Cricetulus griseus: one gene and its partners. The protein of the gene in region 1 binds, or shares a complex with, the protein of each later gene. Links are inferred from orthologs where the notes say so. Each region holds a gene or a part of one and is shown on either strand. Other genes may lie near its edges.

Region 1 (9,430 bases):
ATTAAATACTAACAATCCTTTACTCAGAATATACTCAGAATAGTCCTAAAAAATGCATGACCTAATTCCAAAGAACTTGAGTTAACCGGGAAAAAATTTGAATATACTTGTAAGTGCTTCTTGTTCTGTGAACTACAAACTGGGTAATCCCCAGTTGGCTGAGAATATCTCAAAAAGCTGTTTTATGGCTAAGAAGACAGTAATTCTACAAAACTTTCGGGACAATTCACAAAGCTAATTTCAACCCACTTAGGGGAGCATTTTACAGTCTTAGCAATTCCCTACTCCTAACATTTGCAGGCTAGTAACTACATATAGTTCCCTTAAAGATCAGTTTTTGAGCTCATGAAAAACATCTCTGTAGAACATAGAAAATGGAATGTAAATGAAAAGTATTTGTATCTACGAAACAAACTGACACGCCCCTTCCCCCTCCTTTTTTAATCTCTTGACCTATGTTGATCTCAGACTCACTCCAAAGACAGACAACCTTAGATTTCTAACCTCCTCCTCCCCTTTCTCACATCCAGGTACCAGGTACCAAGGACTGATTGAACCCAGGGCCTCACATATGTTCTGCCAGTATTCTACCAACCTAGTTACATCCCCAGCCCAAAATAATAACAGCAACTCATAATATTCTGGCTGTTTAGAGTATACTGTAAAAATTTAACTCAAGTTTAAATACTGTTGAAGTGGCAGTTTAAGCCACTGTTTGGGTAGAACTCTCAGAACAAAATCTAAGCCTTTCATTCAATTTTCTTAAAAAAAAATTATATGTATTTGTATGTAGCTACGGTATGTGCAAGGGTGTCTGATGCCTTGGAGCTATAGATTTGTCGGTTATGAGCCACCTGACAAGGATGTTGGTTTTCTTAACTACTGACACATGTCACCAGCCCCAGTCTTTTATTCTTAATATGCATGTATTTAATCACTTCAGTAGTAATGAAAATTAGAGGAATGTGATGAGTATGAAATAAGGTTGAAAAAATGGGGTCTTTTGTTTGTTTTGAAGATCCAGGGAACTCTTTCAGACAACTTTCTGCATGTGGGTTCATACCATTGTGCTGAGTGACATGGTTTAGCTAAGTAGTCTAGGCTTGCCTTGACTGTTCTTTGTGCCTTAGCCTCCTAAGTTCTGTGACTACATAATACATTCCCAGCTCAAATCATTTTTAATACAGCTTTGAGCTTCAAATTATTAGTATAAAAATGATCGTTTCCTTCCATTAATATTGATTGGCTCATTATGATATTATAATTTTCTTAAGTTTACAAATCTGAAAACTTCCATAATGGACAGGAGGACTTCCTAACCTGCAAACACTGGGAGTGCAAGAGCCAGCAAGGTATCTCAGTGCTACCAAGCCTGGTGGCCTGATTTGAATGCTAGCCACTCACACAGTGAAAAGACAATCATCTCCCAGAAGTTGTTCTCTGACCCCTGTATACGTATCATGACAAGCAAATGCCTGTACGCATACACTTATGTGCTTAAAAAATATAATGCAAACTTTTTAAATAAAAGTCACAAGGCCAGAAAAAAAAATCTAACATCTTTGATATTAAAAGAATAAAAAAGCAGGGAATAGTGCTTTAGTGCCCTTTATTTGTGTCTTAGTTTTTTAAATTCTGACTTAAAGTGCAAGTATTTTTTTTTTTTAATAACAGTACTGAAGCTTTTCCCATTCCAAAGTGTACTAAAAGGTAATTACCTGAAATGATATTAAACATCCGAGGACTCAGGATAGCAGGGCAGATAAGCCGAAGAAAAACAAAACCACTAATTGAAAGGGAAAATTGTTTTAGAAAACTATGTTTAAAATGCAAACATATAAAAATTAAACTTAGAACCATGTTTATTTTCAACTTGAGGAAGCCAGATAAAGTCATTAAGAAAGCTGTTAAGGCAACCATAATTTCAAATTTCCTTTGGAAGTAACCTTGCACTTACTCTCTTAGCTGCTTATTGAAGATTAGTAATTTGGATTTTTTGTTGTTGTTGTTGTTGTTAGAGGAATCAGTATATTAAAACACTGAGAACAGCTACAAGATTATGAGGATTTGAATACACATTTTACATATCAGTAACAGTTCTATAAGGTTCCAAATTACCTACTTTCTTGCTTGTCTTTCAAAGTTTATTTAATGAATTAAGATAGTTGTATCAATATTGCTGACAAGTTATAAATATTGGAATACACTGTAACAATTAATGAGTCCTTGACAAATTACAATGCACACAACAAACACTTGAAAGTTCTATCATTAATGTAAGCTCATAAGGATATCCTCCTCTGCCTTTTTCAGTCAGTAGTATTAAGTATATGTTGTTAATAATTAACCTTGACAAGCATTAGTCCTCACAGTTTATAAAATTCCTTCTATAATTACTTACAGAAATTAATAACTTAACCTTTTTTATATTTCTTCTTAAAGAAGTCTCCTAGATAAGGTTTACTTAAAGTATTTTAATACTTAAGGTTTACTTAAAGTATTTTAATACTTAACTAGAAATCTGAACTGGCAATTAATGAACCATTAAATAGTGAGAAAATATTTCTCAACTTTAAGGTGATTTTAAATTAAATTACATGACTGCTACACAATTTAAAACTAAGGAAGAGAAATTGACTTTAGGTATGAATAACTTTTAAAGCACCTTGTCACATTAAATCCAATTAGCAGATTCCCTGTTGTATTAGTTTAACAGAACAGTTTAAATGTCCATCACACAACAGCTTAAATAGCATGTTTTAATTTTTCTTTCTTCCTACAGTTCTTCAGTGTGTCTTAGTGTAGAGTTTTATTTAGGGTAGAATCAAATCCAGGCCCTCTTAGTGTTAACCTAGTGCCTTATCTCAGGGCTATGCCCTTAAGCCACTAATAGAAATTCTGTCTGCAAGAAAAGTAGAAGCCTGCTAACAAAATTGACATTATAAATGTAAAAACACATGTGAAGTGACTGGTAATATGTACTTTCCAAAATTACTAGAAAACTGTATTTGATACATTTCTACTAAATTTCTAGTCACTTTGTAGTGGCTGAGATATGTTTAACAAAATCCTTGAACAACAATCATATTGGGTGGTCTTAGGAGTTTTGCTTTGGTTCTTCTGTTTGGTTCCTAACTTAACTAAATTTGCTTAAGTCCATATATGAGCTCTCAAATTTCATTAGCTGCCAAAGCAGTTTCTAATGTGATAAACAGACTAGATGAGAGCTTCAGAACTAGACGGTATGATTGGAGATTAGCCTGGTATTAAAGATGTTAAAAGACAATTAAAACCTAGATGGTTCAACTACTGCACTTTTCCAAGCACTAATTCCTCTATCTCTGCCTACATACACAAATCAGTGTGTGCTGCATACAATGACTATGACAAATGAAAGAGTGACTCTTACCTAACAACTCTTGTTCTCATGGTGTTATTTGTAGGCCACTTACGCTGAACAGATTTCTGTAAACACCCATAAATATATCTCAGTGTCCTGCCAAAATAACATAAACATCTCAATACAGAAAGTAAATATCATAATGATAATCTACTGGCAACCAAAATTTTAATCTACCCAACCAGTATACCATATGTAATCTACCCAACCAGTATACCATTTGACCTGTTCATCTCAAAAAGGTATTTTGCCAAAACTAACGAGAGGGACATTTAGTAAGAGGTGTAGAAACATAATACAGTAAGTTTGGCTCCATTGATTTTAATTTCTGTGTTAATGAAAAGTATAAAACAAGTTATTAGACATGAAATACAGAGGAATTAATGTGGCACGTGTTCTATTATTTTGACTTCTTCCATCTAAACAAGTGAGTTTATTCATACTGACTTGTAAGCAGACATGACACTGGTATCTTGTGTACCTATTTGACTTTGTTTTTTGTTTCCTGGGTATCTAATGTTAGGCAAGACTAGAAACTAGATTTACAGATATTGTCCTCAGATCTGACTCATTATTCTTTCACTCCCTAAGCTACAATATAAGCCAAACTTACTCAGTCCATATAAAAATAGTTTAATTTGTAAATGTATATGTTTTTATTTTCCGGTTTTGGAGACAGGAGCTGGCCTACACTCCAATACTGGGAATATAGGCAGGTACTACATTATCTCTATTTTACTCAGGCTGCTTTAGCAGTTATTTCACTTGTTTACTCTTTTTTCCTTAAACATAATTCATCTTTTTTTTTTGGGGGGGGGGTTCACACGGTTTCTCTGTGTAACCCTGGCTGTCTTGGAACTTACTATGTAGACCAGGCTAGTCTCAAACTCAGAAATTTGCCTACTCTTGCCTCCCAAGTGCTGGGATTAAAGGCACGCACCACTCGCACAAAGTTCATAATCCATCGTTTAAGTATTAAAAACCTGATTATATCAAAGAAAGCATTCATTAAAAGAAAACTTAGAAAACACACATTAGTCAGGTTTTTTTTTGCAAACAATTTGACAACTTACGGTGGGAGTATTTCTGAAGCCATGAATATTTTCTCCACAAGCTCTGAAAGTATGTTCAATAGGTGTGCTAAATTAGTGTTCACATCTTCATTCTTTTCTAACTTTGATGGACTTAACTGCAGGAAGGAACAAACCAATACAAATTCATTTTGGTGATGATAGCTTCAGATAAATTGTGGTAAACAAGCAGTTATTTTTTTCCAAGCTGTCAACTGTTCCACACTCAAATTCAATAGGTTTGCTTAACACCCATTCCCAGTTAATCTACTCAGTTCTACTTATCTCAGGGAAAATAAAACAAAACTTTTTAATGAGGTTCAAAGTAGGGGCTAAGGAAAATAGTCAAAATGTTTAAGTAGGATGGTGAACCTTTCTCAGAACTTTTCAAGTTCACCCCACCCCCAATCTATGTGTTCCGATCTGCCAGAGGTAACTACAAATCTGAAGGACTTTCATCAGCTTTTGTCAATTTTCATAGTAAGTAATAATGGGATTACCTATTGACAGCTCCAATTGTTAACAAAAGTTATTTCCTTATTTTACTAACACTGTATCCAGCAAGCCTAAACATGTAAACTACCTTCCTTTGTAATTGCTCTGTAGCATCCATGAAATAGAATAGTTATGTAAGCATGATTTATGACTGTATGGTTGCATATAAACTCACACTGAAACTTAATCATCTTCAAAAGATTATTTCATTTTCTTTTAATCCTGATCTTCTACAAAACTACCCATAGAGCCCTCTAAGGAAAAGATGTTACATTTTACAAGGCAAGCATCCTTAGGTGTGACATGGGTGTCAACATGGCACTACAAATGGGAAATTCCACATCTGACTTCACATGATGAGCCAAAATCATAACACAAGCCTCCTAGAACTCATGTAAAATGAACTTCAGTCACAAATGTATTTCATGCTTAGACTTATGTTTCATCTTAAAGATACCTTATTGTGTATACTATCGTCCCAAAATAGCTTTTTTAATACAACATGTACAACAAAGGCCCTAGAAAAATGTTCAGTTTGTTTACCTTTTCTTAAATAAGGTACACTTGATCAATAATAGTAGAAATTAGGAGAAATGCCAAAAGAGCTGTGGGGTGGGGGGGTTATAAATCTATTATAGAGGGCATAACTACATTCACAAATTCTAGAAATGTACTTTCTTGGAACTATAATTTGTTAAAAGTTCTCATTAAAATGTGTTATTGCTGCAAAGATTAAAACAACAAATTCTTACCTCACATGACTGTTTGCTTTCCATTATCTTTAAAATGGAGTCTTTCAAAGCATGGTGAACAAATTGTGTGGCAGTGGCTTTCATATACTGCTCCATCAAGGTACTAGCAAGTGTTGTAGCTCGAAATAGGGTAGTGGCTTCATCTACACAAAAAATGGATGTCAGATTACATTAACAGAACTGTACTGTTGGAAATTATTTTTCTTCAGTAATGTACTTTTTACATAAATATCGATGAGGAGAAATAAATACATTAGGAAGCTGTGAAAAGCAGTGATAATGTACCTTAGCCTCGGACTGCTATAAGTCTAGAAATAAAATAGGGGTGATATTTCATAGACTGCTAAGTAAAAACTGAGGTAATATGATAAATCCTATGATAATCACACATTGAGTCTGGTTAAAGAAATCATTTTCTTACAGCTTCTAGTATTTAATCTGCCATGAGAGAATTAGAAATAGCAACCCATTCCCATAATAAACAAAGAATCTCAGATACTAATTTGTAAAATGATTTAGCAAGTTTAATACACTTAAAGACAGAGCCCACGTTTGGTACATAAAAATCAAACATTTTTATATTTTTAAGAATATCACACACATCCATATATTACCTTCCATACTTATCTCTCTGTCATTTAGTGTGCATAACAACAACGATTCAAGCTTTTCATGAAGAAAAATCTTCAGTAGGATGCTGGCTAGTAGTGTTCGGTCTTGTCCACATACATGTGATAAAGCATAGACTACATGAAGTTCCTTTTGTAGTATAAGCTAAAAATGACATCAAAAAAGATTGCTGAAAGTATGTAGCATTATGTATCATTGGACACCAATGGGATGATGAAAGAATACCATCTACTGAATGCAATAGTTAATAATGGAGTAAGTTTGTAGCCTATATATTTCTAGCCTTATAGGATCAAAATCACACTACATGTTTTTTTTACCTCTGGCTACTAGCATGCTACTAATCTAGGACGCTACTATTTAGCTTTATGGATTCTTATTAAATAGTTAACATTTGTGTTGGTGGTGCACGCCTTTAATCCCAGAACTTGGGAGGCAGAGGCAGGCGGATCTCTGTAAGAGGCCAGCCTGGTCTACAGAGTAAGTTCCAGGACAACCTCCAAAGCAACAACAGAGAAACCCTGTCTCGAAAACAAGCAAAAAAATAACATTTATATTTAATGTAATACCTCTTTAAATTCACTGTACTCTTCTTCTGGCATGATTTTTTCCATAGAGTATCGTGCTCGAACACGCAGGGATCCTGGTTCAATGCCCTTTAGTGGTATATGGGAGCTGAGAAGAAACCATTCATCTGTGGCATGTCCTTTTTGTAACCTGCTCAACTGGCAACGCATAAATACTACAAAAGAAAAACCACTATGTTCATACAATTACATTTTCTCAATACAGTTTTCTATGGTGTTAAAAGCTTTTCATTAACCAAGTTTCAATAACATCACAAAACACTTAACTGGTTTGGTTATTTTTTTCATTTACTAGACCTGCTACATTACATTCTGTCATAGGCTGGGGATCTGGAGTTAAGAAATGATTAAGACATGGTGTCTGACGTGCATGGAGAATGTCTTAAGCTGTCAAAGAGGATGCAGTGTAAGTGCTACAACCCTGGATAATACAAAGATACATTAAAAATCAATTCCAAAAAAGGAACCTGTGAATTGATTAGGTAGGTAGGTAAAAAAGGTAGAGCAATAAAGACCACAATCCAAATAGAAAGTATGGCTTTCTTTCTGTTCTAAAAAACTGGGATTTTTATCATACAAGTATTGGAAAAACACTTAAAAATATAAGCAATTACAGAATAAACATTTTTTTCAGAGAGCTTCAGGTTTTGATTTGTCAGTACATATCACTGCTTACCCCAAAAGCCTCAGTTGTAAGAAGGCATTAACCTAATTCACCATGATAAAAATCACTAAATCCCACTGCCATCTGTCCTACCAACAGGACAAGAAGTGTGCTTCTCAGAATAGGAACAGAGTATTGGATATTACAACAGAAAAAAAATAGCACAGCTAAACATCCTATCTTTTTAATTTGCAGGGCTGGGGATTAGTCTCCAGGCCACTACATACCAGACAAATACTCTACCATGGAGCTACATCTCTAGTCTGAATGGAACCTTTAATATTTGAAGTGTAGGAAATTAGGGGAAGATAAAAAAGGAAAGAGAACGAAAAATGATCACCACTACCAGTTTCTTCTCCTATTCTTTGGGAGAAGGGAAAGTAGATTTGTATATTTCAAATTATAAGGTTTATAGTACATATACTTTAATAGTCTCCTCTGAACAGTCAATAGTAGACTGCACAGCATGTTTTTCATCTCCATCTTAAGACATTTCATTTATAAATTCTAAAAATACACACAACATGCTTTCATTACTTTAGAAAGCTTTTTTAATCAACTTACAGATATCTGGATCTTTGCTTTTCTTTGTTTTATTACTGAGTGTGATTTCAAATCTATTGATATCAGGAGGAAGATCACTAAAGAAAGAAGGAAAAAAATTAGTTAAAAATTTAGTGTGTTACATTTAATACCAGCTTTATATAACCAGTTAGACAAGAATACTTGATAACTACATTTCCCCAGTAATCTTAAACTTCTTAAGCCACTAATAACCAATTAAAACAAGATCTAGAAAATATAGAACACATTTTGTCAATACTTTTCAGTAATCCAAAGGCATTTTATTAATAAAGATGAGCAAACCCAACAAAAAATACTATTAAAACACCTGACAAACAGGATCTTAGGTAATTTATATGTAAACAGCAGGAGGAAATATGACTCTAAAAAATAGATTGAATATGATAAAATATGACTTACTCAAAGACAAACTCCTCTGACCATACTGGGTTTTGCCCCTCCCTTGCATGAGTTTTTGCTACTTGGACGCTATTCAAGTAGATGTTACAATATGGATTAGTAAAGTGTTTTACTGGGAGTTTGTGGGCTTCTTCAATATGTAAAACAAGGCTGCTGACCTAAAGAGAACACAGAAATTCATAACCAACCTTTCAAGACCTGTATATAAACAAAAATAGTGATTTGTTTCTTAGTATTTCAAAAAACAAACTTTGCTAATCACCTGTCACCATCCATTTCAAAACTCCAAATATCAATGTATGCTTATGAAGATTTTACTACTCTAAAGGAGTACAGGCTAAGATGTTCTTAAGACACTGATTTTATGATCTGTTGCTACAGAAAAGACACATTCTGAGAAACTAATGTATTACCAGTATAGGTGCTAGAACTATCCATCTACTTCCTACTTCCAACAAACAAGTCAGTATCTGATCCTTGCTTTTCTTTCATGTAAAATGTAGAAGACTACATGCTGTGTAAAGGATTGGCAACCATCCTTAAACCCACTGCAGATTAACGGACGTATCAAAGAGGCTCAAGATGTGTTATATGTGTACAAAGATATGTGACAACTTCTATTTATTAAATGTGTGTGTATTACATGTCCTTGCAACAAAGACCAGAATTTATGTTACGGATAGTATGTAGTTACCTAAGAACGACTGTTTTTACACTTCCAGTTAAATACAACAAGCTTACTGAAATATCCATTAATAGGGGTCATTTTGCTCCATAAATATACAATGTCTTAACTTTCTTCAAAATTCGAACCATATTAGAGCTCAACTACATCCAATTATCTAGGG
Region 2 (9,430 bases), on another chromosome or scaffold:
CATACGCCACCTTCATCCCTCTTCTAGGTTCAGTTTCATGCTGAAAACAGCGCAAACTTCTGGCCCACAATACTCAACCCTCTAAGGACCATGTTCCCTTTTACAGATGGAACCAGAAGAGGGGCACCATGTGCTCACGGTCTAAATAAGAAAGCAGGGAATTGGGATGTGACCACAGGACTTCATTCCCAAGGCCTCGGCAGCTAATACTGACCAATACTCTATCTGAGCTATCCTAACGTGAGCTCTGCCCACAGCCCTTCCCTGGCAGACGAACGATCTCTTCACAGCCACTGAATGTCCTTTCTGGGTGCTATGGCCTGGGCTAGAAGGTGAGCAGCCCTTCCCCAGCAGCCTGGCCTTAAGGAGGATCTGAGTTGTTTTCTGTGACCAGCTGAAATCCAGAATGCTTCCCCATGCCCCACTTCAAATAAATGCTGTACTGCTTTGTCATGCCAATAAAAATCAAAGGACAAATCCCCCACGGAGGGTGGCTTGCACTCTCTGCCCTGATGGTATCTCACTCTTCCAGTAAAACAAGTGTCAGTCTGCATTCCCGATGGTAGCAGTCTGAACAGGAGGCTTGCTCTGTGGCAAAGGCTTTCATCTTCTCTGCAGGGATGACAAAGCAGCCCTGCTCATTCCAAAACACCACTCTCCAAGTCAGGAAAACACAATGCCAGCTTCTACCAATTCTTCCCTAAGGATAACTCCTAAAATGACTGCTGGCACGCCACAGTTTTTGGGCCAAAGGAATCATTTGTCTGATTTGGAGAGGCGTGGTCTGCATAACTCAGACAGGCTGGAAGCTCCTACGTCTTGCCTGCTGATCCAGTAGTTGGGGGGACGGGGACGGGGACGGGGGACAGTACATGTCTGGTGCCCAGCAGGGAGACAGCTCAAGACGCAGAGACTAGCTGCTTCTACTGAATAAAGCCTTTGCCACAGTGAGATCTAGAAATCATGTCTTATTTGGCAATTTTTAAATAATTATTTATTTTGATTGTTTTGAGAAAGGTTCCAGGCTGGCCTTAGGTTTGGTAGGATCCACCTGTCTACCTCTTGACTGCTGGGATTATAGACGTGCACCACCACCCTTGGTTTTGTTTGTTTGTTTCTTCAAGATAGGGTTTCTCTGTGTAACAGTCCTAGCTGTCCTGAGCTCACTCTGTAGACCCGACTGCCTCTGGCACACTTGATCTTATGTGGTGCTGGGATTGGAACCCAGTACTTCCCAAAGGCTTGGCACACTCTCTATCAACTGAGCTACATCCCTAGTCTGGCAATGTGTTTTCAAAGCATCATTTGCAGCATTGCAAATATTGCCAGAAGTCAGAAAAAGACTTTTAATTCAGTGTGCTATTACGGCACCTTCCTAATTCCCAGGTGTGCAAACACCCCCACGAATCAGAAGACTGTCAGCATTCACATAAGCTGCTCCAGCAACTGTTTTTACCAGGACTGGAGGTGGAAGAAAGCCAAAATGTTCCAAATGCTCAGATTCATTCTCATCAAACAGGAGAGCGTGGGGAAAACACAGGGAGGTCGGTGAGCTTCCTAAATAAGGACAATTTTCACTGGGTCTTCCCTCCATGTTCTGAAGAACAAAATGCAAGACAGACAAGCTGTGGGAAAACTAAATGGAAAGAATGTAGTGACCTGAGATAGGGGCACAGAACCCACACAACACAGCTCTGACCTCCTGACAGTGCACAGACAAGAAGGCATGGAAACCCTGGCCAGTAGTGACTGAGGAACACCCTATATGCCCAAGGGTCCAATGGCGTCATGTTCCTCCACCTCCCAGGGCCCTGGGCTACCACAGTGGCCTCTCTGCTACCTCTCAGTACTCCGTAGCACACTCCAGATACCTTTGATATGGAATTCATTTCTAGCAACTCCCCTCCAAGGTCCTTGTAAAGCCTCATGTGAGCGACTCATCTCTGCTGTTTCCTGGCAGGAAGCAGAGCGAGCACCATCCTGTCTATACTGCTGACCATAGGTTATTATATCCCTATCAGAATCTCAGCAAGCTGTCATTCTCAGAACAGTACTGCACCACTACAAACGGCGAGGGGAGGGGGAGTTGGGTGATACTTTCCCTGCCTCAGTGCCTAGACCTAAGAGGACAGGGCGCTGTCTCTAGCAATCTGCCTTGCAAACACCAAGCTGTAGTCTTCAGCAAGAAAATACATTTCCTCCCCTATTGACATGTAAAACACTACTATAAGGTCTTCCTTCCCTGTCTCTGTTATACCTGTGCTCCCTGAAGTACAGAGACTCACTAATGGAAGAAGTAACTGCAGACAGATGAAGAAAGGGACATGTGAAATCTCATTTTACAGCTGGGTGTTGGTGGCACACGCCTTTAATCCCAGCACTCGGGAGGCAGAGGCAGGAGGATCTCTGTGAATTCGAGACCAGCCTGGTCTCCAGAGCGAGTGCCAGGATAGGCTCCAAAGCTACACAGAGAAACCCTGTCTCGAAAAACCAAAAAAAAAAAAAAAAAAAAAAACCAAAACAACAACAACAAAAAATCTCATTTTACAAATATGGATAAACTCCATGCTGAGGCCCCCCCCCCTTTCTTTTTTGCCATTTCAGCACTTTCACAGATTTGTGTGTGCAGAGAACGATCCACTTCTCGCTGATGTAAAACGAAGCACCCTTTTGTGATTAGCATGGGATAGCAGCATTTGAGAACCATAAAGATGATGTATGTTCAGGCCAAGGGGTGCAAATCTACAATCTTTAAGAGAGGAAATAGTACCCGTGTCACTGGCTTGGCCACTTGTCAAGACACTGAAGAGCTCTACACTACCTGCTCATTTGGGTAATTACTGTTCTAGGCAAAGGCAAACCTAGGATACCTATCCAAGTGCTAACTACATGAGACCTACCAGTAGGGGATATCTAATGCACAGGCTGGCTCTTACCACAGAGCCAAAAAATAATTGCACTCTCGTGCTTACATGCGCTCACATCCAGTGTGTGTTTAAAACCATGTTGTCCCTGAATAGTTGTCATCAATCAAATCTCACCAAGACGCTGTGCAAATCCCTACTGACTCATCCTAAATGAGGTCTTACCTTGGTGTTCCTCCTTAGACTTCGAAGGATATTCCTCCTCCTGGGGTCCTCATCTGTTTCATATGGAATGACAGCATTGTCCCCTTTATAGCCCTGCGATGCCTGATCCTCCTCTTTCTTCCGGATGGGTCCCAGCTCATCATCACTCCCCACACTGAAGCTAGTGCGGTAACTAGCAAACCGCCCCAGCCGGGTGCATCTCGTCCTGTACAGCACAGGCTTACTCACGGCGGATACCTTGCGGCCTCGCTCTAGAGAGCTCGTGTCCATTTCACTGTCAGAACCATTGCCACTGCCATTGGACTGGGCTTTGTTGATGTTCCGGATGGTGATGATCTTGCCCTGGGTGCTGTCATGGGGCACAGAATAGATGTTTTCTTCCTCATTCCTTGGCTTGACCACGGCATCCATTGGCTCTGCGTAGTCAGAAGGATCAAACCCGTCCTGAGGCAGCCAGGGGCTAGAAGACACAGACTTCCTCTGTCCCTCCCGATGGCCTTGGTCTAAGTAGGACAGATCTTTTGTGATCTCAAAATGGACAGGAGGCTTTGGTTTGACTGGTGGAGGTACTTTGTTGTTCAATTTACTCTCAAAGTTGCTCATTATGAAAGACAGCCCGTCATTTCCCTCCAGCTCCATAGAGAACTTGGAATGGTCTTTGGACAGGGAGGGCACTGTCGCATCTTCCCGAAACAGGTGGTATGATGGAGGCTCCACGTCTTCTTCTGAGTCCTGCAAGTTTGAGTTGCAGAGTGGTGACCCAGCCCTGGGGGAGTTGAACACTTCTTCAGTGGTGCTGCAGGCCTCAGCAACATTGTCGTACATGTGCGTGGCCTCGATTATGTTCTTTTTCTCCACCACGTCTTTAAAAAAGGGGTGAAAGATCTCAAGTTTATGCTGGGGTTGGCTACAAGGGATGCCTGTGAACCTGCCATCAATTTCTTGTGCAATTTCCTCCCCCTCTGTCAGCTGCTCTCGACTTAAGTCATTGTCCAGGACATCTATAGCGCCATCAGTGAGTGCAACAAGCTGGATGGGAATAATATCCTGCACTTCACAAAGAAAGGCACGTAACATTGCCAAGGAGGCCTTACGCTTGGCTGAATAAAAAACAATGTACCCATGAACCAAGCGGCTCTTTCGGATGCTGAACGAGGAATGGTACGAAAGAACAGACAGCTCAATGCGCTTCTTGTGTAGTCCAATCGGAAGTTCAAGTAAAACAGAGTTGCTGCTCCCACAGTGGGAAGATTTACAGGTTTGGGACTGCAGGACAGGAGAGAGTATGTCATCTGCACTAAAGGGATCACCACACATCAGACACATGACAATTCGAAGGTCCACATCAGCCAAGTCCTTGATACTAGCAGTGGAGCTGACCAGGTTTAAGTTGCGCTTAGAATCCAGGAGTCCCTTCAGAACTTGACTGATCTGCTTCTCGTTAATGTTGCGTCCGTAACCAATGCCAGCAGAAGCAGGGTCCAGAAAGACACACTGCAGTTTGCTAGCAATCTGCTGGCCTTGTTGTATTAAGCTGTGCAGAGTCTCTCCACTTGTGTCCCCTCTCTTGTTAACTAGAATTAAGGTCAAGGGGAGGTGAACTAAGTGATTATCCCGCCTGCCTAGCGTGGACTCTCTGCTCTTCTCTATACTCTCCACCACGTAGGACAGTGACTCCTTTGAATTGTAAAGGCAGAGGCAGCCATGGGGTTGGAAGGTTGGTGTCTGGAAAGAGTTCACAGGAAGCCTGACATTCCCCTCTATTGGCCTCAGGGACAGCTCATACATTTTACCGTCTATCACATATTTGTCATCATTTGTACAAAGAGCTCTAATTTCATTGGCTAACTCTCGGGCAAGGCCATCTTTGCCTAAGATAACCAAATTGATCCTATCAATACTGGGGTCAGACAGAGAGTTTTTCTGATTCCTATCGGATGGTCTGATGAAGCGACAACTAATCAGGTGCTCTATCTTAGCATCCACACAAGCTGGGCAGCTGGGGCATGTCTCCTTCGTGGGGTGGTACACAAAATGAATGTGCTTCAGAATGAGGGCATCACGCTCTGCTTGGAGCTTCTGCAATGCCTTAAATCGCTGCTCTTCCCCCAAAACATCCTGGATGACACCCATCTTTTCCTTGCTGGGTTTGGCATCCAGCTCCAGCTCATAAAACAATTCTGAGTACTCCAAAAGCAACTCCTGGAACTCTTCCTTTGCTCGGTCTATAATCTGCTTCTGGTGCTTGCCGTAGATGTCCATGTACACAGACTCCTCCAGCCACTGGTAAAAGTCTTCATTCATAATAAAACTACGAGCCTCTTCCCAAGGTTTCCCGGGAGTTATGAAAGGAGAGGTCTCCAGGTTTTCTTTGAATGCCTTTCGCATCTCAGCTCTCTTCCTCTCATTCCTCAGCTTCTCCAAGTGGGTCTCATACAGCTGCTCGGCAGGGACAGTATCCATCAAGTCAAAGGGAATCCGCTCATTTTCCATGTTGTCAATGTGGCTGGTGGCGTCCCATGGGGTCTCTTCAAGCACAACAAACCACTTTAAGAACTCAGGCTTGGTCTCTAAGAGCTTTTTGGCTTTAATGCAGCTCAGGTGGTCTACTTCATCTAGGTTAGGGATGAGGGCTTCAAAAGCCAACGGCAGGGCTGCCAGGTATAGCTTTCTGCGGCGCTCAATATGCTCATGCTTGAGGCGGTGGATGTGCTGCAGGAAGAGCTTCTTGGCCTTTTGTGTCCCTTCCAGGTAGACGTAGTCCTGGTACTCAGGGGAGGCCTGCATCTTTCGGCTGACATTCAGCCAGTTCTCATTGTGGTTTTTCACAATGCGGCTCACCAACCACTCATACTTGTCCTTTGCTGTAGCTATTTGCTGACTCTGTTGCTTGAGAGCTTCAAAGTAAGGAATGATTTTTGTCTTCCCTCGACTCTTATCAATGAGTTGCACTAAAGTACTGAAAGCCAAGTCCACATTCACATTGGATCTTGCCGAGGTCTCTACAACCTGGAGGTTCTTTTTGCTTAAGGCAAAAGTATGTGCATCTCTAATGTACCGCTCAACACCCTCGTCACACTTAGTCAGGACCACCACTATGGGCTTTTTTGTTTTTGCAAGCTGATTGTAGAGATTAGAAACAAACTTGAGCTGGTCATCGAAGTTCCTGTTCATGCCCCTGCTAACATCGATGCCCAGAAGGAAACCGTCGACCAGCAGCTTTCCATCGGGCATCTGCTTCTGCTCAAAGTCCTGCTCCAGCCCCAGCTGGTCAGTGCAAAAATACATGAGTTTTTCAGCTGATGCGAGCTTGGTGGCCGCAGCTCTCTTGATGTAGGGCTGCAGGGCCGTGCTTCGATGAGGTTGAAAAGTCTGATCATCAATGAACTCAGTCTGCTCCACAATGTGCATCTTACATTCCACACAGTCCTCCAGGGAGCGGCTAACTTCTCCCCAGTAGAGAAAGTGGTCATTATTGACCACCCGCCCACCAAAGTCACTAGTGCTGAGGACAGAAGTGTGGTCCAGGTGAAAATCATCGGCACTTGGGCGCACGAAGCGGTTACACAGACAAGACTTCCCAATGCCGCACTGGCCTTTCTCCTTCTCAGTCCCGGACAATCCCACCACGCTGATGTTGTAGGTGGGGATTCGAACATCTTGCTTTCTTGCCATCATCATCTTCGAAACATCCTGCCACAATCAGCTACTTCCGAGATCAGATTAGTGTTCTGCAGTAGAGTTGAGAGGGCTTCTCAGCAGTGCCAATGGAGGCCGGCTGCCCAAGCAGCACAAGTGTCAGGTCCCATAGTGTTGTAAACCAGTATGATGTCAGTTCTTGCTACTTCTCATCGCCAAATAGCCAACATGTCTGCCTAGATGGAGGCGGGAAAGAAAAATCATCAGTATCCAAACTCTATTTTAACCACCGAATTACAATAAAAGGATTTTTAATCCAACAAATACTTAGTAAACCTAGTGTGCCAGGCCTTATGCTGAGTGAAATGATTAAGGCTGACATCAGAGTTGTTGAGACTGTTCAGAGGGTACAGCAGGTGTTTGCTGTGGAAGCCTGACAACTCACGTTCAATTCCTGAATCCCAACAAGAAAGGAAAAAACCAATTCCCCAAAGTTGTCCTCTGAGGCCCACACACATGCTGTTATGGCACATGTATGCCTGTACAGGACGGGGCGCACACACATACCATGTACAATGATAATGACAATAACCAAAAGGCTAATATCTATGTGCTTTCCAACAGGTATAGTCTACTGCAAGACAGGAAGACATAAATAAGGAGACTGTAAAATGCTAAGGTGGCAAGTGAGGGCTCTGGAGGAAATGTGGCTAACTCCAAGGCAGGGTGGATATAAGAAATGTCTTTTGTGGTTTTGTTTTTGAGGCAGTTTTTTTGATATAGTTCTTGCTGTCTTGGACTTGAGCTCGAATCCACTTGTCTCTGTCCCGAAAGCGCTGGGATTAAAGGCGTGTGCCACCCACCATGCCTGGCTGAGCCAGAAATGTGATGTACAAATAAAAATAAAAATAATGGGACATTTCACAAGGACAATGGTGTTATCTTAAAGGGGATCCCACAAGTAAGGTCTAGAATAATCTGTGAACCAAAAAAATTGTAATGGATTACAGCTCGCTGCAAAAAATATGAACTAAAGCCCATACAATTGGATCGGATGAGAGTCATGATGGAAGGTTAAATGCAGGGAAATCTTGAGGAGCAGGATGTTGACAGATAACTCAAGTGCCCTAAGACTGCCTATTAATTATCAGGAAGAGAAAAGCCCTCAATAGTAATTATAGTGGAGAAGGCAGACAACACCTTTACTCGGCAACCAAAATTCACATTATCAGTGTGGTATGGAAGCCCTCAGGAGACTGAGGCAGGGAATGCCAAGTAGTTCAGGAGTAGCCTTGGCTACAGAAAGGAAGGGGGAAGACAGACGAGGAGGAGGAAGGAATGAATAAAGCTTTCTGGATGGCTCACAATATTGCTTTCAAAATTCACTTCAAAGCCTCAACAATCAAAACAGTCCCGCAGTGACATAAAGACATAGACCAATGGAAAAGAAACAGAAATCTCACAGCTAAATCATATATGTCACTGAATGACTTTGTGTGTGTGTGTGTGTGTGTGTGTGTGTGTGTGGTTTGAGACAGGGTCTTAGTCTTACTTATGTAGCCCTGGAGCTCACTATGTAAACCAGGCTGGCTTCAAACTCATAGAGATCCCACATGTCTGGCTGGCTAGATGACTTCACAAGGCTGTTGGGACCAGTCATCGGGAAAATGACACTGATTTATTTATTTATTTATTTATTTATTTATTTATTTATTTTTTTTCCGTGCATTGGTGTGAAGGTGTCAGATCGCCTGGAACAGAAGCTATAGAGAATTGTGAGCTGCCATGTGGGTGCTAGGAATGGAACCTGGGTCCTCTGAAAGAGCAGCCAGTGCTCTTAACCACTGAGCTATCTCTCCAGCCCAAAAGGACAGACTTTTTAACAGCTGGTGCTGGGCAAAGTGGGCCTTCACACAGGAAAGGACAGAGGCAGGTCTTTATCTACATCATATACAGAGGCTAACCCTAGAGCTGGGGATGTGACTCAGATATAAGAGTTCTTATCTAGCACACGATAGGCACTAAATTCAATTCAACAACAACAACAAAAACTAACTCTAGCAGTGTGTGGTGGTTCACATTTTTAGTCCCTTAGGAGGCAGGCAAACCTGTGAATCCAAGGTCAGCTTGGTTCACATAGCGAGTTTCAGAGTATCCAATACTACAAAATAAGAACCTGTCTCAAAAAATAAAACAAAAGAACAATCAACCAACCATACAGCAACTTTAAATGGATCAAAAACCTAAAACGACAAAATGTAGAAGAAAACCTAGTGCAAAAGAACCCCATGAGCACTGGTGAGAAGTACAGAGTGAGAGCTGGCCACCATGCCTGTCAAAGAATATGTAACCCCAACACACGCATATTGCAGCATACATGAACATAAGCACATTTACACGTGCACATACACAATGCATACAATCGATTCTGAAAACGATTCATAACAGACTGTTTCTATCTTAAGAGTTGTCAGAACAAGAAAGCGTAATGCTAATTTTGTGTTACATGACATGTCTTTTACACAATAAAATTAATTGAGTGAGGGAATGAAGATCAATGATAAAACACTTGACAAGGAAGAGTAAATCAGAAAAATCCTCAATACAAATGTTTATGAAGTAGACGGCTATACTGAGATCAAGTATCTTTGCTTTTAGAGTAGCCTTACTGAAGCATTTTGAGGGTGGGAATAAGCCAAAAT
Region 3 (9,882 bases), on another chromosome or scaffold:
GGCAGTCCCCAAGGTATCTGTTCCTTTCCACAACCCATTTTCCAGACCTCCTTCCAGAGGCTGTCCACAGCAGGGCTCCTGTCCTCTGGCCGGAAGTCTGGTATCAAAGGAACGTGCAGAGGCTGCGGATTCAATTTTCCTGGGGCCTTTGGCAGCCTCCCAGGGGACCTCAACCCTCTTGGGTAGTCTCCCCCAACAATGACTTTGACTCCTGAAAGCAGGGGCCACTGTCTGGTCATTGGCCAGCTTGCCACCATCCTGATGATGGTGGCCAGGTTGCCACCATCCTGATGATGGTCCTCAATAAGGAAGATGCCTTTTGAGCACAGCCCAGCTGCCAAGCCATTAATGAGCAGCATACACATAGACAACTTCTCATGGCACCAAACAGCTAGGCCAGGTGACAACCAGACTGACTAGTGATGGCAATTTACAGTAATAGCACCTTCCCTTCCCTATTTGTTCTGAGCCACTGGACTGTCTGTTGTAGGTAGTCCCAGGGCTGTCAAAGGACCCACTCATATCCCTTATCAGTCAAGATCCCTCTATGCATAAGCAAACCAGGTGATATATTCCAGCCTTTTATTCTGCAGCTCTCACCATCTATGGCCAAAATCCAGGTGACAGCATCAACTTATCCATATCCTCTCCTGATCCTGAGCCCAACAGGCAGCCACACACCTCCATCCCTCTCCCTGTCCCCTACTAGCTTCATGAGCCCAATAGGCTGCTTAAATCTTATATGCCAGCCGAGCGGGCATTGGTGGCGCACGCCTTTAATCCCAGCACTCGGGAGGCAGAGGCAGGCGGATCTCTGTGAGTTCAAGGCCAGCCTGGTCTCCAGAGCGAGTGCCAGGATAGGCTCCAAAGCTACACAGAGAAACCCTGTCTCGAACCCCCCCCCCCAAAAAAAACAAAAAAACAAAAAAAACAATCTTATCTGTCATCGTCTTTCCTTGGCCTCAAAGGCTAGCCTGCCTGTCAGGAACCAGGGCATAGCAAGGCAGCAAGGCTAGCTGGGATTTGTGTGGGTGTTCTTTCTTCCTTTTCTGAGGCAGCAACTGCATAATGGGGACTGAGTGGATTGAGGGGAAGCCTCAGGTTCCTGGGACACCTGCTACTATCTTCAACCTATGGCTCGACCCCTCTGGAATAAGCTCTATTTGTAGGTTATAGGCTCTCAGGATTCCACATATGGTTCCAGCCACTGCCTTTTGGCTCCCAGCTTATGAGAATGAGGTAAAAAGGTATAAGGGAGGCACTGGGCTGGATCTGGGATAGAGAGGTTTGAGGGCCATTATGAGCAGGGGTTCCAGAGGAACTCCATTCCTCTATCAGGACAGTGAGAGACACGGACTGTCCAGGGCTCCTGTAGTGTTATAGCAATGAAGTGCAGACAGGCACAGGGCCAGTTTTCCAGCCTAGGGGTGTGACTGCACCAGAAACTCCCCTGCCTTCTAAGAAGGCCAGGAGAGCCCATATCCAACAGATGAGCTAGGCCCTAGACCTCCTGCCTTCCTGCCACAGAAGCCACAGCACACATCAGAGTTTGAACCAGTGCCATTGGCAGAACTGGCCAGAGCAGGAGAACCAGGGAAACTCTTGAGTCTTGGTAAGCCCCTTATCACCCCAGGGTCACACCTGGAGGATGAGGTTGTGGTCATGACCATGGCACAAAAACACCCTTCAAGGTACATGGAAGTCACTTCTCAGGTATCCAATACAGACCTTGACTAGGTGTGGGCCACACTCAAAACAACCATTTGTCTACCTCTCCAGGCCTGAGTGAGCCAACCACAAAGAGTGGGCCAGACCAGATGTTGTCAGCTGAGCAGGGGGCAAGGCATTGTCCCAAGCCCTAAGCCCAGCCCCCATACCACAGTTAAGAGTTGAGGGTGCTTTCCTGGCAGGATCTCTCTTTAGTTGTAGTCTTATGTAGAAAACAAGACCAGAGTTAGAAACAGAAAGGTACAGTAGCCTTAGCAAGATGGACCTGGGCACAGGCAGGACATGGACAATAACCTTTTTCCAGGGTCCAGCCCAAAGTCGAACTTCATACCTTTGAATAACCTCCGAAGTCTCTCTCTAGCACATGCTGCTTCAGGCTGAACCACACAATGCTAAAGTACCTTCAGGCCTCCATTGTGGAGTTTTGAAGGACAGAATGTGACATTCTTCCCATATTAGCTCCAGTTTGAGGTCCCTTCCCAGGACAGGCATGTCTAGGCCCCATGAGCTCTGCCCCTGATTCCATCATACTGCTTCCAGCAGGAACACTAAGCTCCTGTCCACCCTTACAATCATAGCCCAGAATGTCCAACCTACTAAAAACCCCCAAACAGGGCCAAAGACAACCACTGGCATAGCAGGCCTTGTCCTCAACCCACCTGCATGGCCAACATGGCTCCAAAGGAGCCACTGAAGCCCCAGATGATACCTCAGGAGCCTCAAATACACATGGACAGGGAAGCTGAACATTTGGCTCTTGTGGAAGAGGGCAAGCATGGTGTCCCACTGCCTAACCACTCAGCAGCAGCCCCTATATTTTGCCTAGAGGAGCTTCCTTATATTGCAAGTGTCCTCCAAAAGAGGAGTTCACCCATTTCCACTTGAGAGAGTAAAGTGCACACACCAAGGGACCCAGCAGGCAGGATGAGGACCAGGATAAGGAGATGGGCCCTCCTGTAGCCATGACCAGTGCTAGAATGAGGCCCTGGGCATGGCACACCCTTTGGGAGCAGTGAGCAGCTACCTGACCGGCATGTGTCTCTCAAGACCATACAGGTGACTTGGAGAACATCTGTACACACTGGAGAGGTGGTAGGAACTGGTAAGGCAGCTTCTACCCTCTCAGGGAGTTGAGATTGCTAGGCTTTAGGCACTGATGGGACAGAAGTCTGAGGCCACACAGAAAACACTGAGGTCCTATTTTCAGAGTCCTAGAATCTCTATCACTGGTCAGGGGGCTGCAGGATACTGGGGCGGGGCAGGTCTTACACTCTGCAATCCTTGGGGCTATACTTCATGGATCCCAGAATGCAGGAAATGTGTTTCCTGCTGGAGACAAGAGATGCCCCCTTACTCTTAAGCCCTCCTCCTCCCATTAGTTAAAGGACAATAGGTCACTCTTTAGATCACCTGATTATTCTTGTGTTGCATATAGCTTTCTGCAGGAAACACAAGACAGCTGGGGCAGGCAGAAGGGAAGGACCATACAGTCCAGGGTCCCAGGCTAGCCACCCCATCCTCTTCTCAGAAACAGGAAGAAGGCAGATGATGAATCTCAGGTTCCCAGTATCTTCTGTGAGGCCACAGGCACTACACCTCCTGCTCCCAGCCAGAGACAAGTCAAGACCATCAAATAATTTACTGTAATTCAACCTGTGCCCCATAGGCACCCGAAGGGAACTGAGAGGGGTTGAGGACTGGGGTGCCAGTGGCAATAGGGACAGTTCATGACACAGTCTGTTCCAATTGTCCATGCGAAGGTCTTGGTCACCTCTGTCCACCATCCCTGGACTGGACTGGCTCCAGCATCGCTTCCTTCCTTCCTTCCCTTCTCTTTCCTTCCTTCCGTCTGCACCTCCTCCCTGCATCCGGCACCTCCACGTCCTGAGCCTGTGCCGGGACGGGCACAAAGGACACCACTGACCTCAGGCAGGGAGATTGGCAGGATGGGGGGGAGCAGGGACATCAGAGTGGATATGAAGTTCATCTGGCTAGCTGGGGCCACTGCCCCAGATGTCTGCTGGTCCCTGCCTCACCTGGTGTCAGGATAGCACACACTTGCAGCTCATGCAGCCAGGGCCACTCTCATCGGGTGGGTTCAGCTTCCGTAGTTTATGCTGCCGAATCTCACGTACTAGTGTGTAGAAGGCATCCTCCACACCCTGGGAACAGAGGGACTGGATCAGAGGGGACTCCAAGGAGGAAAGGGGTGCTGTTTGGGTAAGAAACTCCCTGCCTGGATCAGGTAACACCCCAACCCTGGAAAACAACCCTTCCTCGGCTGCACAACCAACACAAATAGGGAGCTGGGCTCTGCACATCTAAAAGGCACAGGACCACTCTCCTTAAGTAGGCTCACTCTGGAATATCCTTCAGAGCAACTCGACTCAGAACTCTCCCAGACCCCCAGTATGGCTCAGGTCTGAACACCCTGCCCATACTTAGGGCTCAAAACTAACAGGTACTCATAGGACACTATGAGGACAAGAAGGACTAGGCTCCTGGGTCACCGCTCCGGCCTGGCTCAGGGCAGCTCTCTCCATGGACCCCCTCCTGCCCTGGCGCTGTGTCAACCCAGAACTGCAGGGCATAAGCCCAGACCCTGGCCCTTGCCTCCCTCACAGCCCTGCCGTCTGGGAGACTTACAGCATGGGGGCCGCTGGGTCACATGGGTCCCGGGGGGGTCCCAGAGGGTCCCGGAGCTGGAGCCAGAGCCAGAGCGGCTGCCCTGTGTTGAGGGAGAGGGGCGATGAGCTCTGCTCCCTGGCTGGGGTGGGGTGGGGTGAATCCCTGACTAGCTATGGAGTGGGGAGCAAGCTCACCTGCCGGGTCTTGGCTGATGTTTCAATGTAGGGGATGCCATAGCTGCGGGCAAGGTCCTGGGCCTGCCGAGACTCAACAGTTCGAGCAGCCAGGTCACATTTGTTCCCCACCAGCACCATTGGCACATCGTCTGAGTCTTTCACCCGCTTGATCTGCTCCCTGGAAGGGGATGGGGAGTATGTGAGCCAGCTAGCAGGTTACAGGCATGGCTGTACCCAGGACACTCAGAAGACATAAACCCTCAGTGTGCACATGGAACCTTCCTCACCTGTGCTAGCCATAGGTGGCTCACCTGTACTGATGGATGTCTTCAAAGGACTTGGTGTTGTTGATGGCAAACACACAGAGGAAGCCCTCCCCTGTGCGCATGTACTGGTCCCTCATGGCACTATACTCCTCTTGACCTGCTGTGTCTAAGATGTCCAGCAGACATGTCTCCCCATCAATGACCACCTGTTTCCGGTAGGAGTCCTGTAAAAAAAACAGAGCTTAGGCGTTCCACCTCTCCTCAGAGAATCCACAGAGCCCACCCACCCTTGCACCTCTCATGTTCTGATAGATTAGGTGGCAGCAGACCCATACCACCTGCAAGACCTAGCTATGTGGGCCTTCCTGACTCTTCCATGACCACTGCCAGAGCCAGGTAGCCAGAGCTCACCTCTATGGTGGGGTCATACTCGTCCACAAAATGGTTCTGGATCAGCTGGATGGTCAGGGCACTCTTTCCCACGCCTCCAGCGCCCACCACCACGAGCTTGTATTCTGTCATCGCTTCTATAGAGGCTGCCACTCCAGGAGCTCCTGCCCCACCTGCCAATGAGAGCCACACTTATCCAGGCCCGGGCCACTTGAGACTGCTAGTAGATGCCTGACCCAAAGGCCCTAACCAGCATTGAGCAGGCAGGCCAGCCACCACAGTGGCCCAGTCACTCACCTGTGGCACCTCCAGCTGGGACAGGGAGGCCCCCCACCTCCTCCACCAGCACTTAATGGCTGTGTGAGGAAGCAGGGAGAGGCCCCCAAGGCAGGGCTGACAGCTGAGAGCTTCTCCCAACCACGCACCCAAATTAGAAGTCGCTAGGTAGGCAGAAAGCCTCAACGGGAGGTGCCTGAGGGCTGAGGCCACCCCCCAAAAACAGGTCCTGCCACGGCGGACTCAGCGTGCCCAGGCAGGCCAGTGCCAGCCTACAACCGGCTCCGGCCCGCCGGCATGTGGGTGCAACCGACAAGTATTTACTGAGCGCCTACTGCATGCCAGGCGCGGTCCGGGCAGCGGGGGAAGGGTGGCTGGAGAGGGACCCTGCCCTCCGCTGAGACAGACCTTCCACAAGAGGCCAGGGAGCCTTCAGCAAGCAGGGGTGGAAAAGCGGCTGAGGGTGTGGGAAGCAGGTGACTGCGGGAAAGACTCACAAGGGGCGCGAGGGGTGACTGGGGAACAGAAGGCCCTGATTGGGGCCTGAAGCGGGTGTCCTTGTAGCCCCGAGGCCGGAGCGTGATGGCCGCGGGGCGCAGAGTCTCCGGAGGCCCGGGCGGCGCCTCGCCGGGAGGGCGGCTACAGGCGGGGCGGGCCGGGCCGGGCCGCAGAGGCGGGCAGCCGGGCGCTAGGCACGCTGCCGGGGTGAGAGGAGAGGGGAAGCACCGATCACCTGCGCCCCGCGCCCCACCCCACGCCCGCACTCACCGCTTGCTGGAGTGACTGCCCCCGGGGCCGGGGCCGGGGCAGGGTGGGGGCGCGGACCGGCGCTGGCTGGGCCGCGCATGAGCTCCGTCCGCGGCGGGTGCGGCTCGGGCTGCGGGCGCCGGGCGCGGACGGCGGGGACTCGGCCGGGCCCGCGCTCGCCCCGCCCCGCTCCGCCCCGTCCGTCAACTCTAGACAGTCGGTGATTGGTCGAGCTCCGCCTCACCGCGACCTGTTGTGGTTGGCTGAGCGACCCATCCGTCAGGAGCCGCAGCTAGGCGGGGCTTCCTGGAGTAGCAGAGAGAGCGCTGTCGCGACCTGGGTACTGCACTCAAATGAGTGACGCCTAGTTCCGAGGTGCGGAAGAGAATGAGGGAACCCGAGATTCCTCCGGAGAGAAACTGGGGTACGCTCGGGTTGGGTCGCGGGGCCTGCCACAGAGCCCACACTCTGCAGCCGCTCCAGAGGCCCAAAGGCCCTGGGAGCGGAAAGGTCATTCCGACCGGGACCTGGCGTCGGGGACAGTCAGCACCGCGGACGCGGGATACCAGAGGAAGGCAGAACCCGCCGGAACCCCAAGCTGCCTGTTCTCGGAGGCCGAGGTGTAGCGAAGGCCCCATCCCGAGGCAGCATCGGCCCATCACACCGCGCTCCTTGTGCTTTGGAGAAGACCCTCCCTTACCTCCCCCAAAACTCGAGGTCCCAACCCTGCAGCAGCTCATACTGTGCCCCATTTGAAGAACGACCCCGGAAGTCAGAAAAGTTGGTATTAGGGCGAAATGAAATGTTCCATCCACTCATGCAAGTAGGGTACATCTGTGTCAGACGCAAATGACATGTTTGCAACTTTTTGAAAATTTCAAAGAAACGAGTAAGAACGTCCTCCTTAGAAAACCGACAGGGCTTTCTCAGGTGATGCAGGCCTGGGGACGCGCGCTCACGTGTATCCCGGGGTGAGAGCTAGGCTCGGCCGATGCGGCCAGCAGTCAGATAACCCAGAGCGGGACAGAAACCTCTCACGGGCAACTCTCCGAACCTCTGTGGGCGTCTTCTCATCCGTCTCGCTTGCCTGCCACTCAGGGGAACCCTGCCACCGGATCTGCCGCGTGTCCCGGCAACCGTTGCTAGGGGGCGGGGCTCATCCTGCCGCAGCCCCGGATGCCCGCGGCTCACGAATATTTGGGTATTCAAATGAGGCCCCGCCCCCGTTGCCATGGCGCCAGGGCCGCAACCCCACCGCGGAGGAAAAAATAAAAAAAACCCTCACTTGAGAGAGCGACCGCCTTGGTGGAGGGGTCCAGGGCTGGGCCCCTGGTCTCGGGCATCCTGGCCCACCCCTCAGGTGAGAGCTGCCTCTTCATGTCCCTTGTGCTAGGGGAAACCTGGAGTGGGGCCTACATCTTTTGGGGCAAGACACACTGGACTGAGTAAGCAATAAACCATGAAGTGCAGTGGAAAGAGGTAACTCTTACTACAAAAATGTATCTGGGAAAGACAGGTAAGAAGTGCAGGAGTTAGAGGTCGGCCAAACCTGGATGGAGGTCAGGGACGACGGGATGGTGACCAAGAAGAATGTTCTGGGCAGAGTTCTCACTACAGCCCAAAGACTGTTGAGTTCAAGGTCTGAAGCCAAACACAGACCTCTGTATCTTTAAGGAGAAACAGTAGGTGAGCCTGTTGCCAGAGGTATAGAGGCACCTGAAAAAACTCCTCCAGAGGTATGGGGAGGAGCTCAGGAGAGGCGGGCCTACAGAAGATTCAGAACCACACACCCCTTTAGGAGTTGAAGAAGCAGCAGAGTTTGGATGAGGACCGTGTCTTAGTTTGCATTGGGTGACCCAGAAGGACCCTTGACTGTCGTTGTCATCATCTAAACCTTATCCCCCATTAAAATGGTTACAAGGGATTCAGGACCAGGCCCCCAGCTAATAGCACTCCATTCCTGTACCTACTTGCTTCTGAGCTGACATTGGCCAGCTCAGTCCAGGTCTACAGACCAAGCACAGTGACATAGCCAGGAAGCTAATCTAACTCTCTCTTACAGGTATTACATGTAGACACATGTGGCCCCCTTGCCCGGATGTTTGACCTACAGCAGGAGCCAGCTACCTGCAGGTGGGACCTCAATCAGAGAAGGGGGTGTTGGAGGGAATGTCTGCTATCTTAAGCCTGAACCTAGATTTAAGAGACCATTAATGAAGAAAGATCTAGAGCCAGGGTCTGGGGCAGCCTGGGGAACTGTCAGTTACAGGTGGGTGGCTGCTGGTCGATACAGACATCTTGCCCAGTGTCCCTAGTCTTACAGCCTTAAAAAAAAATATTCTTTATCATGTGTGTGAGTGTATGTGTGTACCACAGAGTACAAGAGCCCTCAGAGGCCAGAAGAGGGCAGCTGATCCATCCCTTGGTTACAGGCATTTGTGAGCTACCCAGTATGGATGCTAGGAATCAAACACAGGACCTCTGCAAAAGCAGCCATATGCTGTTAACCATGGAGCTATCTTTCCAGCCCCAATACACAGCTTTTATGAGGCCCAAGATGGCAAAGCCTGGAGCCAGTACTCATTGCATGGACACTGTGGAAAACAAATACAGAAACAAATAAAGGAATAGGGAGATAGCTCAGACAGTAAATTGCTTGCCTTGTAAGCATGAAGACCTGAGTTTGATCCCCAGAACTCACATATAGGATGTCAGGCATGGTAGTGTGAGATTGTAATCACAGCACTGGGGAGACAGACAGGTAGGTGCTTGGGACTTGCTGGCACGCCAGTTTAGCCTATTTGGTGAGCCACAGTCCAGTGAGAGACCTTATCTCAAAAAAAAAAAAAAAAAAAAAAAAGGAGGAGGGCATCTGAGGAATGGCACCCAAAGTTGTCCTCTGGCCTCCACATATACACATATGCACACACACTAACAATTAACATATACACACACAAATTATAAAATGGATAAGTACATCTCTTTTTTTTTCCAAACTACAGAAGCAAAGGGAGAGAAGTTGTTAGCATAAGCAGGAAGTTTCAGCTGAAAGTAGGGAAGTGGACAGGTGCTGTCCAGTTATCTAGACCACTGAGGTTGCCCAGGGCCCCTCAGGCCAGGCCAAGTCAGGCTGGGATGTGGGGAGATTGACCTAGCAGCTTTGTGGGCCATTGATGTGAACTAGAGCCTTGTAAACTAGGAGATTTGGCCCTCTGCCTCTCCTAACAGGTTGGATGTAGATGGACCCAGCCTGGGATGGATCCCAGGGGCCTCGGCCAGGCACAGCTAGCATCCGGGTACGGGAGCTGAGCTGGCAGGGCCTAAACAACCCCTGCCCACAAAACAAGAGACTGGGCAGCCATGGGGATATCCACAGGGAGCGGCGGGTGAAGGAGCACCTTTCCCCTGCTCGGCTGGTAAGTGATTGGGCCTGAGGCTCCGCCATGGGTCTGCATGAGGTGACATACTGGCACCCTTTCTGCTGATATCCAGCTTTCCCTCCGCTAGGTACCCCCTACCTTTCCACCATTGGGGTCCCTGCCAGCAACCCAAGTGACACAAGCATCCCCAGGCATTGAGATCACAGATGGCACTGTTGGGCCAGGGTTCTGTAACTATTGGCTGAGGCCTGTGCTCAAGCAGACAAGAAGTCTCTTACTCAAGAGCTGATG

Evidence for each region.
Region 2: the proteins of Rasa1 (region 1) and Arhgap35 are in contact, whole or in part, in a crystal structure (PDB 8DGQ), measured with the Homo sapiens proteins. The link is inferred for Cricetulus griseus from reciprocal best matches to the Homo sapiens genes RASA1 and ARHGAP35. Residues at the interface, in NP_002881.1 of Homo sapiens: Arg188, Arg207, Ser209, Arg211, Val217, Asn228, His229, Phe230, Arg231, Ile241, Gly242, Tyr256, Leu262, Leu263, Lys264, Lys358, Ser379, Asp380, Asn381, Ser387, Gln397, Arg398, Phe399, Lys400, Met411, Gly412, Gly413, Arg414, His425, Tyr426; in NP_004482.4 of Homo sapiens: Ser1085, Asp1086, Tyr1087, Ala1088, Glu1089, Pro1090, Met1091, Asp1092, Ala1093, Val1094, Val1095, Arg1098, Glu1100, Asn1103, Ile1104, Tyr1105, Ser1106, Val1107, Pro1108, His1109.
Region 3: the proteins of Rasa1 (region 1) and Hras are in contact, whole or in part, in a crystal structure (PDB 8BOS), measured with the Homo sapiens proteins. The link is inferred for Cricetulus griseus from reciprocal best matches to the Homo sapiens genes RASA1 and HRAS. Residues at the interface, in NP_002881.1 of Homo sapiens: Gly746, Arg749, Glu783, Thr785, Thr786, Arg789, Ala790, Thr791, Glu799, Lys803, Ser833, Arg894, Gly898, Phe901, Leu902, Arg903, Cys906, Pro907, Leu910, Asn911, Met914, Arg928, Ile931, Ala934, Lys935, Gln938, Asn939, Asn942, Val944, Ala948; in NP_001123914.1 of Homo sapiens: Gly12, Gly13, Ser17, Ile21, Gln25, Asp30, Glu31, Tyr32, Asp33, Pro34, Thr35, Ile36, Glu37, Asp38, Ser39, Tyr40, Arg41, Gln61, Glu62, Glu63, Tyr64, Ala66, Met67, Lys88, Lys117.

The regions. Positions count from the first base shown.
Region 1 is NC_048595.1:305,205,374-305,214,803, forward strand, and holds part of Rasa1 (ras GTPase-activating protein 1), read right to left. Parts: intron 8,741-9,430; coding exon 8,583-8,740; intron 8,240-8,582; coding exon 8,163-8,239; intron 7,090-8,162; coding exon 6,917-7,089; intron 6,492-6,916; coding exon 6,332-6,491; intron 5,861-6,331; coding exon 5,718-5,860; intron 4,590-5,717; coding exon 4,474-4,589; intron 3,497-4,473; coding exon 3,410-3,496; intron 1,787-3,409; coding exon 1,719-1,786; intron 1-1,718. UniProt on the Homo sapiens protein: Inhibitory regulator of the Ras-cyclic AMP pathway. Stimulates the GTPase of normal but not oncogenic Ras p21; this stimulation may be further increased in the presence of NCK1.
Region 2 is NC_048602.1:11,210,983-11,220,412, forward strand, and holds part of Arhgap35 (rho GTPase-activating protein 35), read right to left. Parts: intron 6,965-9,430; 5' UTR 6,771-6,964; coding exon 3,090-6,770; intron 1-3,089.
Region 3 is NC_048596.1:59,989,999-59,999,880, reverse strand, and holds Hras (GTPase HRas), read right to left. Parts: upstream 6,387-9,882; 5' UTR 6,312-6,386; coding exon 6,233-6,311; intron 5,362-6,232; coding exon 5,210-5,361; intron 5,023-5,209; coding exon 4,844-5,022; intron 4,711-4,843; coding exon 4,551-4,710; intron 4,457-4,550; coding exon of another isoform or gene 4,375-4,456; intron 3,891-4,374; coding exon 3,771-3,890; 3' UTR 3,765-3,770; exon of another isoform or gene 3,648-3,764; 3' UTR 3,349-3,647; downstream 1-3,348. Other genes in the region: Lrrc56 (leucine-rich repeat-containing protein 56), read left to right, coding at 9,451-9,627. UniProt on the Homo sapiens protein: Involved in the activation of Ras protein signal transduction. Ras proteins bind GDP/GTP and possess intrinsic GTPase activity.